Saccharomyces cerevisiae S288C: one gene and its partners. The protein of the gene in region 1 purifies or fractionates together with the protein of each later gene. This does not show direct contact. Each region holds a gene or a part of one and is shown in the gene's direction. Other genes may lie near its edges. The genes, in order: PRP42, YHC1, NAM8 and PRP40.

Evidence for each region.
Region 2: the proteins of PRP42 (region 1) and YHC1 purify together in Saccharomyces cerevisiae (affinity purification with mass spectrometry; 5 studies listed by BioGRID). This does not show direct contact.
Region 3: the proteins of PRP42 (region 1) and NAM8 purify together in Saccharomyces cerevisiae (affinity purification with mass spectrometry; 5 studies listed by BioGRID). This does not show direct contact.
Region 4: the proteins of PRP42 (region 1) and PRP40 purify together in Saccharomyces cerevisiae (affinity purification with mass spectrometry; 5 studies listed by BioGRID). This does not show direct contact.

What each region holds. Positions count from the first base shown.
Region 1 is NC_001136.10:931,581-936,748, forward strand, and holds PRP42 (mRNA splicing protein PRP42), read left to right. Parts: upstream 1-1,923; coding exon 1,924-3,558; downstream 3,559-5,168. Other genes in the region: homoaconitate hydratase LYS4, read left to right, coding at 1-1,630; FMN1 (riboflavin kinase), read right to left, coding at 3,656-4,312; mitochondrial 54S ribosomal protein uL5m MRPL7, read left to right, coding at 5,035-5,168. UniProt on the Saccharomyces cerevisiae protein: Essential component of the U1 snRNP particle, which recognizes and binds the 5'-splice site of pre-mRNA. Together with other non-snRNP factors, U1 snRNP forms the spliceosomal commitment complex, that targets pre-mRNA to the splicing pathway.
Region 2 is NC_001144.5:723,408-727,584, reverse strand, and holds YHC1 (Yhc1p), read left to right. Parts: upstream 1-2,168; coding exon 2,169-2,864; downstream 2,865-4,177. Other genes in the region: ECM38 (gamma-glutamyltransferase), read right to left, coding at 1-1,516; YLR297W (uncharacterized protein), read right to left, coding at 3,152-3,541. UniProt on the Saccharomyces cerevisiae protein: Component of the spliceosomal U1 snRNP, which is essential for recognition of the pre-mRNA 5' splice-site and the subsequent assembly of the spliceosome.
Region 3 is NC_001140.6:275,455-280,635, forward strand, and holds NAM8 (Nam8p), read left to right. Parts: upstream 1-2,698; coding exon 2,699-4,270; downstream 4,271-5,181. Other genes in the region: homeodomain family transcription factor STE12, read left to right, coding at 1-786; IPI1 (Ipi1p), read left to right, coding at 1,310-2,314; YHR086W-A (uncharacterized protein), read left to right, coding at 4,777-4,938. UniProt on the Saccharomyces cerevisiae protein: Component of the U1 small nuclear ribonucleoprotein complex (U1 snRNP) involved in the initiation of meiotic recombination. Involved in the formation of DSBs at recombination hot-spots through meiosis-specific splicing of REC107 pre-mRNA.
Region 4 is NC_001143.9:416,176-421,290, forward strand, and holds PRP40 (snoRNA-splicing protein PRP40), read left to right. Parts: upstream 1-2,134; coding exon 2,135-3,886; downstream 3,887-5,115. Other genes in the region: URB1 (Urb1p), read right to left, coding at 1-738; ARC19 (Arc19p), read right to left, coding at 1,333-1,848; CCE1 (cruciform cutting endonuclease), read right to left, coding at 3,980-5,041. UniProt on the Saccharomyces cerevisiae protein: Required for pre-spliceosome formation, which is the first step of pre-mRNA splicing. This protein is associated with snRNP U1. Two commitment complexes, CC1 and CC2, have been defined in yeast. CC1 is a basal complex dependent only on the 5' splice site.

The sequences.
Region 1 (5,168 bases):
GGGGTCGCTGGGCACTCCAATAGTGAGAACAGACGCTGCAGCCATATGGGCCACGGGACAGACGTGGTGGCAGATCCCACCAGTGGCTCAGGTTGAGTTGAAAGGTCAATTGCCTCAGGGTGTTTCCGGAAAAGATATCATTGTCGCATTATGTGGGCTTTTCAACAATGATCAAGTTCTAAATCACGCCATTGAATTCACGGGTGACTCTTTGAATGCATTGCCTATCGATCACAGACTCACTATTGCTAACATGACCACCGAGTGGGGGGCTCTTTCTGGTTTGTTCCCCGTGGACAAAACTTTGATCGACTGGTATAAAAACCGTTTGCAAAAGCTGGGCACCAATAATCATCCAAGGATTAATCCAAAGACTATCCGCGCACTAGAAGAAAAGGCGAAGATTCCGAAAGCAGACAAGGATGCACATTATGCCAAGAAACTGATCATCGATCTAGCCACGCTAACTCACTACGTCTCAGGTCCAAATAGTGTTAAGGTCTCCAACACCGTGCAAGATCTATCTCAACAAGACATCAAGATAAATAAAGCTTATCTAGTGTCATGTACAAACTCCCGTCTATCTGATTTGCAATCTGCAGCGGATGTGGTTTGTCCTACTGGAGACTTAAACAAAGTCAACAAGGTGGCTCCAGGTGTGGAGTTCTATGTCGCTGCTGCCTCTTCAGAAATTGAGGCTGATGCCCGTAAATCAGGCGCTTGGGAAAAGCTGCTAAAGGCTGGCTGTATCCCACTGCCTTCTGGTTGTGGTCCATGCATCGGTCTAGGTGCGGGATTACTGGAACCAGGTGAAGTTGGTATCAGTGCCACAAACAGAAACTTCAAAGGTAGAATGGGTTCCAAGGATGCATTGGCTTACTTAGCTTCCCCTGCTGTAGTCGCCGCTTCTGCCGTGCTGGGTAAGATTAGTTCTCCTGCTGAGGTATTGTCCACAAGCGAAATTCCATTCAGCGGCGTTAAGACTGAGATAATTGAGAATCCCGTGGTTGAAGAGGAAGTTAACGCTCAAACAGAGGCTCCAAAACAATCCGTTGAGATATTAGAAGGTTTCCCAAGAGAGTTTTCTGGTGAATTAGTTTTATGTGATGCCGATAACATCAATACCGATGGTATATATCCTGGTAAGTACACTTATCAGGATGATGTGCCTAAAGAAAAGATGGCGCAAGTTTGTATGGAAAATTATGATGCCGAGTTCAGAACCAAGGTTCATCCAGGTGATATAGTGGTCAGTGGGTTCAATTTCGGTACCGGTTCCTCCAGGGAACAAGCGGCCACCGCCTTATTGGCTAAAGGTATCAACTTAGTTGTTTCAGGATCTTTTGGTAATATTTTTTCAAGAAACTCCATTAACAATGCTCTTCTGACCTTGGAAATCCCAGCATTAATCAAAAAATTACGTGAGAAATATCAAGGTGCTCCAAAAGAACTTACAAGAAGAACTGGTTGGTTTTTGAAATGGGATGTAGCTGATGCTAAAGTGGTCGTTACCGAAGGTTCTTTGGACGGCCCTGTGATCTTGGAGCAAAAAGTGGGTGAGCTAGGTAAGAACCTACAAGAAATTATTGTAAAAGGAGGCTTGGAAGGTTGGGTCAAATCCCAACTATAATGTGCATAAATATCTAGAAAAATCGCACCCTTTTCTTTATTTATTAAGTTTATTTATTTATTTACGGTTATTCACGTATATTTTGTTAATCTATTGATACACAAGTTCTTATTTGTAATTTTTCTACTTCTTTTCATTAAATTTCAAAGATGCTCTTGTGACGTCCAAAACCAGTGTCTGACCTAAAGCCCGTGGGAAAAACAACGTAAATTTCTACATAAAAAAGTCAAGTAGGCGCTCGAAAGAGTTTCAGAAAATACCCAGCTGACCATTAACTGAAGTAGCAAACATCTATGGATAAATATACTGCTTTGATTCACGATGAGAATTTTTCAACTCTTACATTGAATGTCTCGAGATACCCTAAAAGTTTGGCATATTGGGAGAAGTTACTGAACTATATAGTAAAGGCTTCGGCACCAATATGCAAGTCCACTGAGCCTCAATTATTAAAGTTAATACGATGTACTTATTCTTCTATGCTGAATGAGTTTCCCTATCTAGAAAACTACTATATCGACTTCGCGCTACTGGAATACAAACTAGGGAATGTTTCTATGTCTCATAAGATATTTCAGCGCGGATTGCAAGCCTTTAACCAAAGATCTTTACTATTATGGACTTCATATTTAAAGTTTTGTAATAACGTTATCTCACACCAGAAGCAGTTGTTTAAAAAATATGAAACAGCTGAAGAATATGTTGGTTTGCATTTTTTCAGTGGGGAATTCTGGGATTTATACCTGGAACAAATTAGCTCAAGATGTACGTCTTCTAAGAAATATTGGAACGTTTTGAGGAAGATACTCGAAATTCCTTTACACTCTTTTTCGAAATTTTATGCATTATGGTTACAGCGCATAGACGATATAATGGACCTAAAGCAATTATCACAACTAACAAGTAAAGATGAATTATTGAAGAAACTCAAGATAGACATCAATTACAGTGGAAGAAAGGGACCGTACCTGCAGGATGCAAAGAAAAAGTTGAAGAAAATAACGAAGGAAATGTACATGGTTGTACAATATCAAGTACTTGAAATCTATTCCATTTTTGAATCAAAAATTTATATCAACTATTATACATCGCCAGAAACCTTGGTTTCTTCAGATGAAATAGAAACATGGATAAAATACTTGGATTATACCATCACCTTACAAACAGATTCTTTAACACATTTAAATTTTCAAAGAGCTTTACTTCCTCTGGCCCATTATGATCTTGTATGGATAAAATACAGTAAATGGTTGATAAATTCAAAAAATGACCTTTTGGGGGCAAAAAACGTTCTATTAATGGGTCTTAAATTTTCTTTGAAGAAGACCGAAATAATAAAACTACTGTATTCAGTTATTTGCAAGTTAAATGAGTACGTACTTTTGCGAAATCTATTGGAAAAAATTGAGTCCTCATATTCCGACAATGTTGAAAACGTTGATGATTTTGAGATATTTTGGGACTATCTTCAGTTCAAAACGTTCTGCCAGAATTCTCTGTATTCCAGTCGATATTCTGATTCACAATCAAACGGGCTTTTGAATAAGGAGCTGTTTGATAAAGTATGGAAACGTTTGAGTTGTAAAGAAAAAAAAAGTGGTCAAGAAATTTTATTGAATAACTTAGTACAGTTTTATTCGAAGGATACCGTAGAATTTGTAGAAAAGAACATATTTCAAAAGATAATAGAATTTGGTTGGGAGTACTACCTACAGAACGGTATGTTCTGGAACTGTTATTGCCGTTTAATTTATTTCGACACTTCTAGGTCATATTTGGACAAGAGGCAATATATTGTCAGAAAAATATGGCCCCAAATAGACAAAAAATTTGCACAGAGCGTCTTGCCGTCTTTAACAGAATTCTGTGAGTCATACTTCCCAGAGGAGATGGATACATTAGAGGAAATGTTTACTGAAGAACCTTAGCCAAAAGGCATTGTCATTTATTAAAAGGTATAAATATGTAAATGTATACTTAATGACCGTTAAGAAAAACTACTAGCCTCATCACTCCCGCAGATCTCTATAATTGTTGTTTGAATACTTGATACGGTGGAGTGGCAAGGACAGTCTGCGCAGTCCTAATATCGATATTGATGTCTTCGATCAGAGCTTCCTTAGTAGTGTAGTTCAATTCGGGTCTGATATGACCTAAAATATTGAACTTGACCCTGGCCCCATAAAAATCATTTTTAAAATCATGTATAATATGTAATTCCATGGTTTTGAAATCATTTCCGTAGAATGGATTTTTCCCAACTGAAAGTACCATAGGAAGTACGGACAAATCATCGTTCGCTTCACTTAAATATTGACCGTAATTATAAACCACAGTTCTTCCATCCCGCCTTGTTTCCACCGATAGTTCTTGACCATCAACAGTTTTAATGTGAGCAAACCCAAAGTAAACCCCTAAATCCAAATCGTTGATACCTTTAGGTAACTGATTTATAGGTACATTGGCAGTGGGAATACCCAATTCGGCGGATCCGCGGCCAAATCCACATACAATGTCACAATAGTCAGTAACAAGCGGGAATGGTGGACCTGGTTGCGCAGGTATTGGCAAATCGACTTCTCGTTTAAAAGTATCAATTATATCTGTATTCGTATTTCGGTTCATTAAGAAAGTACCTGCTAACACTAGCAATAACGAAACATAAATAGTCCACGTAAACATCAACACTTCAACAACACGTGTCTGTGACCGCTTCACGGGTCCAAATTACCACTTTCTAGAACATTGTCTTGTACGTCCAATAATAGTGTTACCAATGCTGACAGAGTATTAAAGCAACGATTTGAATTGACGCATTACCCTCCTGCATAAAGGACTACAAATACATCCTCTCTTATAACGCAATTGCAACATCTGAAGTGCAGTGTGATCAAGATATTCAATTCTCTATTAGAGTAACTTAATCATGTTTCACATGATCAGTATTCATTGTAAAACCTCTTGAGTGTGATTCGTTGCCAACTAACATAAGCGTGCGGATTCTTTAGAAAGTGGGTGTGCCGACCCTGGGAAAGATTGCATAATGTGAATCCTTAATGACTTACCCATACTCTTCATTAATAACCTATTTAGAAAAAGAAGAAAGGCTGTTTCGGAGCTCCTTTTGTGCTGTTTGCAAACTGTCTATTTTCGCATCAAGTTTTACCCATCTACTACTTTATTCGCTTTACGGTAAAAGCGAACACGACAAAATCACCTATCATCTACGAAGGGCCTTTCGAAAACAGAAGAATAAAAAGACAGGAAAAGCATCTGTTTAGAATTTTATAACTAATTTGGGGAGGTATCTGTAAAGTAATAGACAGGACCGGAAATAGTGTAAATACTCTCCTTTGTTTTTTTAGTTGTACCACTTTGAAGAGGGCTCGAGATTCACGAACAAAATGCAAAGGTTTTCACTAGTCACTCACAGATCATTCTCTCACTCCTGTGTGAAGCCCAAATCTGCATGCTCTTTGGTCAAACCAGTTCATCACTTGGTGAAAATTGATAAGTCAAAGTTATCCCCTAGATTTCC
Region 2 (4,177 bases), on another chromosome or scaffold:
AGATCACCCCGGTTTTTGGGTCGTGTACTAAGGAACCGAACAACAAGTTGATGGTGGTTGTCAAGGAAACAGCATTCCCATGTGAATCTACTATACTGAAGTGGGCAGTTCCATGCGGGTTATTGATATCGTATGCCGGATCATAAAGCGTCCAGTTTTCTAAAGTTTTAAAATTTCCGTCTTGAGAGTTTCTTTTGATTGATTTCACTGCTTTCAAAGCCCATTCTGGATCCAATACCTCTTCTATATGCTTAGGTAATGCTTCGCCTTCAAAATCGCCTAACCTGCTTCTTGCGCTTGCCATCCATTTCATGCTTTCAAGCAAATGATAGGTAGTTTCTTTTTCATAATCGCCCCCTTCTTGATTCTGGAAATTATCCATTATCCTTAACGCCGCAAGTAGTGCAGCCCCGGAACTTGAGCCGCTACTTGTTAATACGGTCATATCGTTATCAGGGATGAAATTGGCGCCCTTCCTAATTTTCATGGACAGTGGTTTAGTAACATGAACATCATACGATGAAACATCCTGCAAGTTCATTATTCCATTGTATTTTGCGACAGTATCAATCATGGATTTTGCAATCCAGTGATCGGGGTCATAAAATGGGGCCACGGAACCATTTTTAGCCAGTTCCATTAGCATGTTAGATAGTGCCGGCCTCTTGATCCAATCGCCTTCTTTCAAAACACCGTCATGGGTAGAATTCAATACAAACGACCAATCTTCCTTCAATGTCAGGAAAACATCCTCATAAAGTTCTAAAGTGGCACCGAGTGCTTCGCCTATTTGCCAACCCACGCTTCCCAGCTTTGCGACTGGTTCAATTAGATCACGCCAATCAACTTGGCCGCTACCTCTTTCTTTAAAGAGGCGATAGAGACCCATCAATTCACCTGGAACACCGACAGCAAGACCCCCTATTTTTGAGCATAGAGAGCAGTTTTCGAACATGAACTTATGTGAATCCATGGGTGCTTTTTCTCTAAAATCAATGGATAGATGATCTTCATCGTCTTTGCCAGAAAAAACTACGTAGCCACCACCTCCAATCCCACTATTAAAAAAATTCACCATACCCTTACAAAGAGCTTGTGTTACTGCAGCGTCTGCAGCGTTAGAACCGGGAAATTTCAGGAGTACCTCATTTATAGTCAAATTACTACAGACTTCTAAATCTGAACTTATAGCACCATGCAAACCGACTTTTAGAAGTTGCCTATCAGGCGTTAAACTAGGACGGCGAGGTAAAGGGTCAATATCGATGTTATGGTGATCCTTATCGCCGCCATCATCATCGTCGTCTTTTTTCAAATATTCTGCAATAATGTCAACATCTCGATTGGCAGACCCTCGAAGGAGATTATTTATTCTCTGCAAAGTCTCCTGAGAGGCGAATGATACCATTTTTGACGGCATTCCGGACACTAACACACCCAGTGTTAACAGAGTGAATATATGCAGTATAAAACAGGTATTTAAAGTCTTGGGGACTTTTCTATTACACAACAGCATAACTGTAAGTCTAGTACGCTACTTTTTGTCTTGTCTTTTTGTGTGCCTGACAACGCCCCACTTGAATCTGCGTTAGCTTTTTATTCTATTATTTAAGATAACTGTGCAACAGGAAGTCACGATCGAACTTTACGGAAGAATTATAATATTGAGAAGTGCTAGTACACACAGGCGCACACACACATATATATATGTATCTATATACGTGTATGTAGATTTGGAAGTCGAATAGATAAATGCCGTTATGTTCCCTCAGAGAAAATTGATAAGCGGGCAAAAGGCGGCACTAAGACGTTCGAAGGGGCGGATCTTTTCTTTTGATCAACAACAGGCACAGCCGCTGAGTAATATAGTTATGATTTTTCTAATCTCATGTAGGTAATAAAATCTTAAAAGTTATTTTTATTTTCACTCTTTTATATGTGAATAGAGACACTTGTATAGAGATAATAAACGGTTCAAACTCTTTTCACTTTCATATGTTCCACACAGTACCTTATCATTGAACACTAGATTTCCGCAAGTGTCAAGGTACATAGGCGGGTAAGCGTTAAGGATAACAGAAAATATTCTTGCTATACTGAAGATATAATATGAGCTCCTAGTGTAGGCGATGAAGGTGCTCAAGTAACGGAGAGGAAAGAGATAGGCAATGACGAGATACTATTGTGAATACTGTCATTCGTATTTGACCCATGACACGTTGAGCGTTCGTAAATCGCACTTGGTCGGTAAGAATCACCTTCGTATAACAGCTGACTATTATAGGAACAAAGCAAGAGACATTATTAATAAACATAATCATAAAAGACGCCACATTGGAAAAAGAGGCAGGAAAGAAAGAGAAAACAGTAGTCAAAATGAGACGCTAAAAGTTACATGCCTTTCAAATAAGGAGAAAAGACACATCATGCATGTGAAGAAAATGAACCAAAAAGAACTGGCACAAACCTCAATAGATACCTTGAAATTGTTATACGATGGCTCACCAGGATATTCCAAAGTATTTGTGGATGCTAACAGGTTTGATATAGGAGATTTGGTTAAAGCCAGCAAATTACCCCAAAGAGCCAATGAAAAATCTGCACACCATTCCTTCAAGCAAACTTCAAGATCCAGAGATGAGACGTGCGAGAGCAATCCATTTCCTAGGTTGAATAACCCAAAGAAGCTAGAACCCCCAAAGATATTATCACAATGGAGTAACACCATTCCAAAAACTTCTATATTTTACAGTGTAGATATACTGCAAACCACGATCAAGGAGTCCAAGAAGCGGATGCATTCCGACGGCATACGGAAACCGTCGAGTGCCAACGGATATAAAAGGAGGCGGTATGGAAATTAACGCTATCAGATTAGATTATTAAATATTATATGTAGACTATATTTTGCCAAAAAAAACAATAGAGATATCAACAACGAATGAAAATGGTATGATGAGAATAAAAAAAAAGGAAATAAAAAAAGGAAAATTAAAAAATTGAGATTAGTTGAATTGAAAAAGGAAAAAAAATGTTTGGTATGCGATAATTAATTGAATGTGCACGATCGTTACTATCATGAGAATTAAAATTTAAAATGTCCAACTTTCGGGCGTGAAGAGCGGTGCCATCTATTATATCTATTTTTATTTCATGCTTTTTCAGCAAGTGCTTGCTTTTCTTCATCGTTGGACTGTAGTTTCTTATCATTACTGCTGCCTGAACGGAGAGATATGAATATCATGCCAATCAACCCAAGTAGTAAAACTCCAACCACTACAATAATAAAAGATATTATGAAAACAGCGAGTATGTTTTCCAGTGGTTCATTATCGAGGTTAAAATTTGAGAGATCCGGGGTCCCAGAAACGAGTGTGTGCACATCTCCGCTTGCTTTCTCATCCGAATTTAAAATCTTTGTCAATAATTTAAAGATCTCATCCCCTATGCTATTCTTGACGCTATGATGATCACCACACATGGATTTGGAGCTTAGTAAGGCAATGTTCGATTGCTCATCGACAAAATCACCTTCGACCATTTTCTGTTTTTATATTTTTATCGTACGTAGTCTATAATGCAAAAAGAATAATTTGTTACTTGTGAGAGAGAAAGCGTACGTGTGCGATTGTGAGAATATGTAGATTATTACCACGATAGAGCAAAGAAGAAGGCTCTCCAAAAAGAATTAGTTATCTCACACTACCAACCGAAAGACTTCCTTAATATATATAAATTTAACACGGTCCTTATACGATTTCTCTTTTATATATTACTACTCTCAGGTATTTATTACTTGGTAACCAATTAGTAATACAGAAGGGAACTACGGAGTTTCTCTACAGACTTAACCCTTTTTTCCTTCTCCCAAAAAAATTTCCTTTTTTTTTCCTTTTTGTTTTTGTTTCTGATCTCGCAAAACTCATCTCTTTACTCTTTTCTGTTAAATCGGCCATTCTTGAATGGACGGGTATCTTTTTAAGCCGCAATACGCGTGCGCACTTTTCACTGGTTTCTCCAGACAGCCCCAAAAGAAAGCGCGCGGTGTTCTATTGTTCCTCATTTTTTGCAGTCCGTTTTTCGGAAATCACAAGTAGCTAGCCCTCCATTCGACCCGAACGATGCGGCCACTGCCCTGGATTATGGCTGCAAAGCCCGACGAGTTTCGAGTCAGCAG
Region 3 (5,181 bases), on another chromosome or scaffold:
AATGCAAAATCTCACAACTCTGGCCAGCAAACTAAACAACACCAATTATATTCTAACAACTTCCAGCAATCTTACCCAAACGGAATGGTTCCAGGATACTACCCAAAAATGCCGTATAATCCCATGGGGGGGGATCCTCTACTCGATCAAGCCTTTTATGGCGCGGACGATTTTTTCTTTCCACCAGAAGGATGTGATAACAATATGCTGTATCCACAAACTGCAACTTCATGGAATGTTTTGCCCCCTCAAGCTATGCAACCAGCTCCAACCTATGTTGGGAGACCATACACACCGAATTATAGATCGACACCAGGTTCCGCGATGTTCCCATACATGCAAAGTTCAAATTCCATGCAGTGGAACACTGCTGTTTCACCTTATAGTTCGAGAGCACCATCTACAACTGCTAAAAACTATCCTCCTAGCACATTTTATTCTCAAAATATAAATCAATACCCACGGCGAAGAACTGTGGGAATGAAGTCTTCACAAGGAAATGTTCCAACAGGTAATAAACAATCTGTGGGCAAGTCTGCAAAAATTTCAAAGCCTCTACATATTAAGACAAGTGCTTATCAGAAGCAATACAAAATCAACTTGGAAACGAAAGCCAGGCCAAGTGCTGGTGACGAAGATTCTGCTCATCCTGATAAGAACAAAGAAATTTCGATGCCTACTCCGGATTCCAATACTTTGGTGGTCCAGTCAGAAGAAGGTGGAGCTCATTCACTTGAGGTAGATACCAATCGAAGGTCCGATAAAAACCTTCCAGATGCAACCTGATATAATATAATTTTTGAATTTATGATACAAGAATTAAAAATGCGGGCCAGAATTTAATATTAAACAATACTCAGAAGAAAACAACAAGGACAATCTGTTTTTATAAATAAAACAATCTTATACAAGACTAGAGCAAACAAAAAGCAAGAAAAAAAGGTAATAAATGTAACAAATCTATTAACGTTAGAAAATAACAAAAAAAAAAAAAGAAAAAGATAATATAATATAATACCTTTATATATGTGATTTATCTAGCGTCACAGTATGTAATATAAATATCAATGAGTTTCTTAACATGACCTCCAAAACTACATGATCGCTTAGTATTACAATATGTGTTTATCCACTATTTTGATACCAACGTAGTATTGCCTTTTATTTTTCAGAATGGCAAAGGCCATCGGAAAATTTTTCCACCAGAAAAAGCGAGATTCCTAATTATAAGGTGAAGGCATCGATGTTCATAATAGTTAAAAGTTGTAATCAAAAAAGAAAAAGGTGCAGAGATAAACAAAGTTAATAAATGACAAAATCAAGAAAGCAGAAGCAAAAAAAGCAGGATTTTTTGAGAAAAAAGTTAAAAGTTGGTAAGCCAAAGGAAAAAGCAAGGAATGCTACCGATACATCTTTCGTTTCCAAGACTATTTCTATTAGAAATCAACATTTAGACCAAAATCCACATGATTTAACAAAACGGCTAACGCTCTTAAAGCATCATAACATCAATGTGAGAAAGGAAACATTAACAACATTCCAAAAGTCAATACCGTCTATAATAAAATCTCGACTTATGACACCATTACTTACTCAAAGTATACCGTTGATTTGCGATGAATCGCAGCAAGTACGTCAGGGACTTATTGATCTCGTAGATGAAATAGGTAGTCACGATGCGGAGATTTTAAAATTGCACTGCAACATTTTTGTCTTATACATTAACATGGCAATGACACATATTGTTACACAAATTCAAGCAGATTCTACTAAATTTCTCTCTCATCTGTTGAAGTATTGCGGAGATGAAGTGGTTAGGAAATCTTGGGTAAAACTTTTGAACGGTGTCTTTGGAGTGCTCGGTTGGGGACAGGTAGGGAAAAATGATAGCGCTAGCATAGTGCAAACGAAGAAGCGAAACGCCAAATATGTCACTATTCATCTCAATGCTCTGTACACTCTTGTTGAATACGGATGTCAGGATGAACGCGCTAGAAGCGACGGAGACACGGCAGAGACTACAGAGGACAGCGGTACGCTACGAAACCCATATTTAATCCCAGATTATCCGCAGCCGTTTGAGCACTTGAAACTATTTACCAGAGAATTGAAAGTTCAGGATGCTACCTCCAGTGGAGTAAATGCCACACTACTGTCATTGGCAACACAGGATATCGATACTCGAAAAGCGGTATTTATCGAACAATTCCTGCCTATAGTACGTAAGAAAATCGAAGTAATTATCAAGGAAGGTGGTGAATGTGGTAAAAGTGCAAACAAGCTTAAAACGCTGCTTGCAAAAATCTTTGATTGACGTTTCATAAGAATACAATATATAATTGATAGATTGTACTTTTTTTTTTGTTACCCTCAGGAGAGGCAGGGCGAAAAATGCAGAATCTTGGATTTTTTTTAAGTAGATCTAAGTTTGTTTATTTTTCAAATACTATTGGCACAAAGGGAAGGGCTTTTCAGGGATTATTCAGATTCGAGTTGGTGGTGAAATTGTGTGTGCGTACATCCTTATATCAGAGCTTTCCTTTAGTGACAACATTTAAATCGACGTGACCTTATTCGGGTAGTCAAACACCGAACCATATTCTTTGCCCTTAGGTTACTTTCCCTTCATTTTATCAGCTTAGTCGATTAAGTTCGTGTCTATATCCCGTCAAAAGTTCCTAATACATTGCGGGTACAAATGTCCTATAAACAAACAACATATTATCCTAGCAGGGGTAATCTGGTAAGAAACGACTCATCTCCGTACACTAATACTATTTCCTCAGAAACCAACAATAGCAGTACAAGCGTATTGAGTCTTCAAGGCGCATCTAACGTGAGTTTAGGGACCACTGGTAACCAATTGTACATGGGCGACTTGGATCCTACATGGGATAAGAATACCGTTAGGCAAATTTGGGCATCTCTGGGAGAAGCGAATATTAATGTCCGGATGATGTGGAATAATACGCTTAATAATGGGTCGAGATCATCAATGGGTCCAAAGAATAATCAAGGATATTGCTTTGTTGATTTTCCCTCATCTACTCATGCAGCAAATGCACTTTTAAAGAATGGTATGCTTATACCCAATTTTCCAAATAAAAAATTGAAATTAAACTGGGCTACATCCTCATATTCAAACAGCAACAATTCTCTTAACAACGTGAAGAGTGGTAACAACTGTTCTATATTTGTTGGAGACTTAGCACCAAATGTTACAGAGTCTCAATTATTTGAACTTTTCATTAACAGATATGCTTCTACTTCTCATGCCAAAATTGTGCACGACCAGGTTACCGGGATGTCTAAGGGCTACGGTTTTGTAAAGTTTACCAATTCTGATGAACAACAGTTAGCTCTGTCAGAAATGCAAGGCGTATTTTTAAATGGTAGAGCCATAAAAGTAGGACCCACATCTGGTCAGCAGCAGCATGTCAGCGGTAACAACGATTACAACCGTAGTTCTTCGTCACTAAACAACGAAAATGTAGACTCGAGATTTCTTTCCAAGGGTCAATCATTTTTAAGCAATGGAAATAATAACATGGGCTTTAAGAGAAACCATATGTCTCAATTCATTTATCCAGTCCAACAGCAGCCGTCTTTAAACCACTTCACTGATCCGAATAACACCACTGTGTTTATCGGAGGATTGTCATCACTGGTGACTGAAGACGAATTACGTGCTTATTTCCAACCTTTTGGCACGATAGTCTATGTCAAAATTCCGGTAGGCAAATGTTGCGGGTTTGTCCAGTATGTTGATCGGCTATCGGCTGAGGCTGCCATTGCTGGGATGCAAGGGTTCCCCATTGCAAATTCAAGAGTTAGACTGTCTTGGGGCAGGTCTGCTAAGCAAACAGCGTTGCTTCAGCAAGCCATGTTAAGTAACTCTTTACAGGTTCAACAACAGCAACCAGGTTTACAGCAACCTAACTACGGATACATTCCATCCAGTACGTGTGAAGCACCTGTTCTGCCAGATAATAATGTTTCATCCACGATGCTTCCTGGATGTCAAATTCTGAATTATTCTAATCCATACGCTAATGCGAATGGATTAGGCTCGAACAATTTCAGTTTCTACAGTAATAATAATGCTACAAATACGCAAGCTACTAGTTTACTGGCTGACACTAGCTCTATGGACCTCTCAGGCACGGGTGGCCAACAAGTTATCATGCAAGGAAGCGAAGCGGTTGTTAACAGCACTAATGCAATGTTAAACCGTTTGGAACAAGGCAGTAATGGTTTTATGTTTGCTTGAGCCACACGTGTATATAAAAATGTTTGTTTTCCTTTTGGCCCTTTTTCTTTCTTGGTATTTTCTTTACTTCAGTGTTAAATTGTATTTGGTCTTAGGCTGACGGTGATATAACAGCGCTTTATTTTCTTTTTTTCATTGCTTTTTATCGTTTTCAAGATTCCATGTCCTTTTATTAAGTCTTTTTTGTATCGTTATAGTTGCGTTTTTCCTTTTGATTTTCATTTCTTTCAAGGTTATTGTTATTCTTAATTCAATTCAAGATTGTACGCTTTTAAGCATGTTTATGATTTTCCTTTATTACTTCCATTTACCTTCTTTCCATCACTACTCATTACGGCCTGTCAATTCCTTTTTTGCGTCACCTTCATTTTTTCTTCTCTGTTCTTTTCTGTATTTGTCGAAAATTTTATATTGATGTATCTTAATTTTATTTTTAGTATTATTATACTGTAAATGTTTCTTACTGTGTCAAGATTTCCCGTTGCGCTATCTTCCAAGACTACGTAATGCGTTTGTCTCTCTATTCATGTTGTCTCTGTATAGGGGCACGGCGAATTCCTACTCCGTGTCTCTTCTCCTATATCTTTACACCAAATTTGGCCCATTTTCATTCCCCTTTACGTAGTAGCGGTTTTCGGCCTGCCGGTGCTACGCGTTTCTATAGCTAGTTTCGTTTTCTCACAAATAAATCCTAGCAGGAGGAAAAGAAAGCGCAGGTTGAAACTCCGTTCAGAAGAAGAAAGCCACTCTTTGAAAATACTGCCCACGCAATTGTCCCTTTCTGACAATAAGACCCCTTACTACTAGTAAATGTTTTTATTCTCTAAGCTTCTTTTCCTCTAACTTCGACGCTAGAGCAGGCACTACCCTGTTGGGCCGTACGTAACAACAACGACCCCTTATTTAGTCGA
Region 4 (5,115 bases), on another chromosome or scaffold:
GTCGTTTATGAATACCGATAGTATGTGCTCAGATAACTTGTCAGAATCAGCCTTATTCATGAATTTAAATAGGTTGCTCATAATCTTAAAGTTTTCTGTCAAAAGTTCTTTTCTCACGAATGGGGAAGCATTTGAGATCAATGTCAACCAAAACTTGATAAATGTAAATCTTAATGAGTCATGTTTGGATGAATCAGCAGATGAATTCCCATTGGCTAACTCAGACTTGCTTGGTACCAACAGTCTTGGTAAAATAGGTAATGAAAAATCGAAATATGAAACTAATTCCTCTATATGTTGCCCATTGTTGAAATTGACTATTTGTTTGAGTAGACGAAGAATTGGATTAGTTAATTGCGCACGCATATTGTTCAACCCTCTATAGAGAACTTTTGTGTAATCGGTCAATATCAATCTAATTAGACCGCTCCCAATAGTCACTGTACTAGTATCAGATGACAAAACTCGTAAGGTTTTAGTCAGTAATGAGGTAGTTTTCGAGAATTTCCCATGGTTATTTACTTGAGCATAATATGACCAAGTCTGTACCAATTGAGCACCAAATCCTCTTTGGAAGAACACTATTAGAGGTTGGTAATCTTTGGAGAGAGTTTCATCTTCGACTGCACTGATTATACTTTCTAGTGTTTCTAATGTACCGTCTTCGAACTCTTTCCCTTGGGTGTACTTCTCCCTTCTCTGGTCGCGAGATCCATAGGCTTCGCTATGATTACTCATTATGTAAGTGCTCCTCTAGTTCTGTTAGATGAAGTAGTACCGCATAGATTAGAGAAATAATATCCAATCAAGAATATAACCGAACTATTCTTTGCGATGAGCTTTATTGCTGAAATTTTTCATATTTCGTCTACAGTGATATAATATTGAAATCCTCATGCAAGTCGTGCATAGGTAAAAGCTGTTTACTATATGTTGGTGCACTATTATCATATAATTTTAGTTTGGTCGTATACTAGTGCGGCAGTAATAATAAATGCTTTAGAATCTTCAATCTTCATTTGTTTACGTAAAATGAAAACGTTTTGTGTTAGAATTGACAGATTGAAGTTTAATTTTAGGTGTCGGGAGAAACATTTTAATCCCTTTTTATGAATATAATTTAAGTACTAAAAAAATCACCATAATTATACAAAGTAACTGCAATTTAAAAGTACGTTTATAATTAATTCACATACACATGTTATTGTATCTAACTAAATAGTCTCGAAATAGTTCAATTGAGTACGCAAACTAACACAGTCAGTACAGATCGTAAAGTTTTCCGTCAATAGGGCCCTGACGGAGAAAGATTCCCTTTCCTATATTAGGAATCTAATAGACAAATTCATCAAGATATGCTTCCGCAACAAATCTTGCTCTGGCATTCAAAAACAGTTTAATTTCACTGATTTCCTTATCCACGTCCTCCATGAATTCAATAATAAAATCAACCAATTTCCCAGTTTTCATTGATTCAGTATGCTTATTAGTTATTAGAAAAGAAATACTGTAGCCAGGTATTGGTACACGTCTCAGAATGTAGAATGCTTCAGCACGCTGTTCCAAAAATCTAGTAAACTTGTGAACTAAAATCTGCTCAATTTCATCTGCCTGTTTCACCATTAAACTCATACGCACCGAGTTTACACTGGGCTCAATCAATACTTGTTCATTTTCATTACGAGATATATGCATCGGTTGGAGCAACAATTCGGCGCTAGTGTTAGGGACTTCAACTTCCGGTCTGTTGTGCCTCTCCACTTCCTGCGAAGAGAAATTGCTCAAAGTCAACGCAGCTTCCAGGGAATAACGAACAGCCGTTAGATACGGACGTAATGATTGTGACATTTCCTACTATCAGTTGCTTCCTCTTTTATCTTTTGTCAAAGTGACACCGAGTTGTTCCGAAAGCCTCTATTTGCTTGGCTTTACAGGCTTTTTTTGTTCTATAATTGTATTTTGCTATACAAAAGGGGCGACGTGGTAAACGATATGAAATTATCGACAATAATAATGTACTTGGAAATCTGGCAGTTGATGACATCGCAATAGCGTGCCTACCTATCAGGATAACAAGGTCTGAAGCCAGATCGACCACTAGACAAGCATTGCCGGAGGTGGGAGACGTGAAACTATGTCTATTTGGAAGGAAGCTAAAGATGCAAGTGGAAGGATATATTATTACAATACTTTGACAAAGAAATCTACGTGGGAGAAGCCCAAGGAACTAATTTCTCAGGAGGAGCTACTTCTTCGAGAAAATGGCTGGAAGGCGGCCAAGACGGCAGACGGCAAAGTATACTATTATAATCCAACAACAAGAGAAACCAGCTGGACTATTCCGGCCTTCGAGAAGAAAGTAGAACCCATCGCAGAACAAAAACATGATACAGTATCCCATGCACAGGTTAATGGAAATAGAATAGCCCTTACGGCTGGAGAAAAACAAGAGCCGGGACGAACTATAAACGAGGAGGAAAGCCAATATGCTAATAACTCTAAACTGCTTAATGTCAGGAGAAGGACTAAAGAAGAAGCAGAGAAGGAATTTATTACCATGCTGAAGGAAAATCAAGTAGACTCTACTTGGTCATTCAGTAGAATTATTTCAGAACTGGGGACCAGAGATCCAAGGTATTGGATGGTCGATGATGACCCCTTATGGAAGAAAGAAATGTTTGAGAAATATCTTTCCAATAGATCAGCCGATCAACTTCTTAAGGAACACAATGAAACAAGCAAATTCAAAGAAGCCTTTCAGAAAATGTTGCAAAACAATTCTCATATAAAATATTACACCCGTTGGCCTACCGCAAAGAGACTAATTGCCGACGAACCAATATACAAACACTCCGTGGTCAATGAAAAGACAAAGAGACAGACCTTTCAAGATTATATAGATACCCTCATCGACACTCAGAAAGAATCAAAAAAAAAATTGAAAACACAGGCCCTAAAAGAACTAAGAGAGTATTTAAACGGTATTATAACAACATCATCCTCTGAAACTTTCATAACCTGGCAGCAGCTTTTAAATCACTATGTTTTTGATAAGAGTAAGAGATATATGGCGAACCGGCACTTCAAAGTCTTAACCCACGAAGATGTTTTAAACGAGTATCTGAAAATAGTAAATACGATTGAAAACGATCTTCAAAACAAACTAAATGAGCTCCGACTGCGCAATTATACCAGAGACCGTATTGCTAGAGATAACTTTAAAAGCTTATTAAGAGAAGTGCCAATCAAAATCAAAGCAAATACTAGATGGTCAGATATTTATCCTCATATAAAGTCTGATCCGCGCTTTTTACATATGCTTGGAAGGAATGGCTCGTCCTGCCTTGATTTATTTTTAGATTTTGTTGATGAACAAAGGATGTACATCTTTGCACAAAGATCAATAGCCCAACAGACGTTGATAGATCAAAATTTTGAATGGAATGATGCCGATAGCGACGAGATCACCAAGCAAAACATAGAAAAAGTTCTGGAAAATGACCGGAAATTTGACAAGGTGGATAAAGAAGACATCAGTTTGATTGTTGATGGTTTGATAAAGCAAAGAAACGAAAAGATACAACAGAAACTCCAAAATGAGCGTAGGATATTGGAGCAAAAGAAGCACTATTTTTGGTTACTTTTGCAAAGGACATATACAAAAACCGGTAAGCCCAAGCCTAGTACGTGGGATTTAGCTTCCAAAGAGCTTGGCGAATCTCTTGAATACAAGGCACTAGGCGATGAAGATAACATAAGAAGACAAATTTTCGAGGATTTTAAGCCTGAAAGCTCTGCACCGACTGCCGAAAGCGCTACTGCAAACTTAACGTTGACCGCGTCAAAAAAGAGGCATTTAACTCCGGCTGTGGAATTGGACTATTGATTCTGACGTGTCGACCTCTATCTTGTTAATCATTATATAAATTATACATAGAGATTACATGTTATTTCAAGTTTGCGATCACCGCACAATTTCTTAGTCATTGTTGTAAGTGTTCTGCAAAAATTTCAGCTTTTGTACCTTATTTTCACAAAATTCAAACACCTGTCCGAACTGTGTTTTAACCAGTGTTTTTGAATTCAAGAGTTCAGTAATACTTTCATAATTTTTTAACCACTCCATCCAAGACAAACAATGGAGGAATGAATCTGCCAAATCGTCATCTTTTCTCACCCCCGAATTATCTTGGATCTCTAGTATATCACATAGCTTGAAACTTTTTTTTTTGGTAAGGGCATTTCTTATCCTATTATTCCAAACTCCTATGAACTCGACCAGTTTTGTAGAACTAGTTGAATTACCTTCTAGTATTGAGGTTGAAAGTATTTTTTTCACTAGCTTTATTCGAGAATCTTTGCTATGTTTGTTAGATTTTAACTTTTTTGAACTGGTCGGTGTCTCTTCTCTTGGAATGCACCAATATGAAGTCATCCGATGTGGATCGGACGAACATACCATATACCTCAACTTGGACGTATTCGGTATTTTATTCGTATACTTCATTTTATTTTCCAAGTTAGAGAAAAGAATCTGTTCGAGAATATTCACTTTTAAAATTGGGTCTAAAATATGCCTCGAAGACATAGTTCTGGTACGTTGCCTTTCAATTGTAAACATATCTGGTATCGGCATAGATTCAAATAAATACTCCGTAAGGTTAAATACAAGCTCAGAAGTTTCAGCAGGATTCAAGCTTAACTTTTTGAGGTTTTGAAAAAATTTCTCCTCTAGATTTATCTTTTGCCAGTCTAGTACTTTAGGGAGCGGATCATTATTGAGCAATTGCATCTTAGAGAAAGCAAAGTTAGAAACACCAGCATCCATAGACAATATGTTAATTCTTCCCTCTCTTATCTTTTGTTGTCGTAACTTCTCCAAAAATTCACACTGTTCTTGAATGTAGGTTCTTTTAGCTTCTTTCGTCGTGCCATTTACTGCTCCAATAACAAATGATAAAGATTTCAGTTGTGTGCTTTTTGCATTTTGGCAGCAGGAATCGATGAGTTGCAATATCTTAGCTTTCTGTGCTGTCGACATATTACTATCTTTTTTAGCTTTAGACTGTATAACCGTAAGCCTTCGTTGTATGCAATGGATAAACAAATATGGAA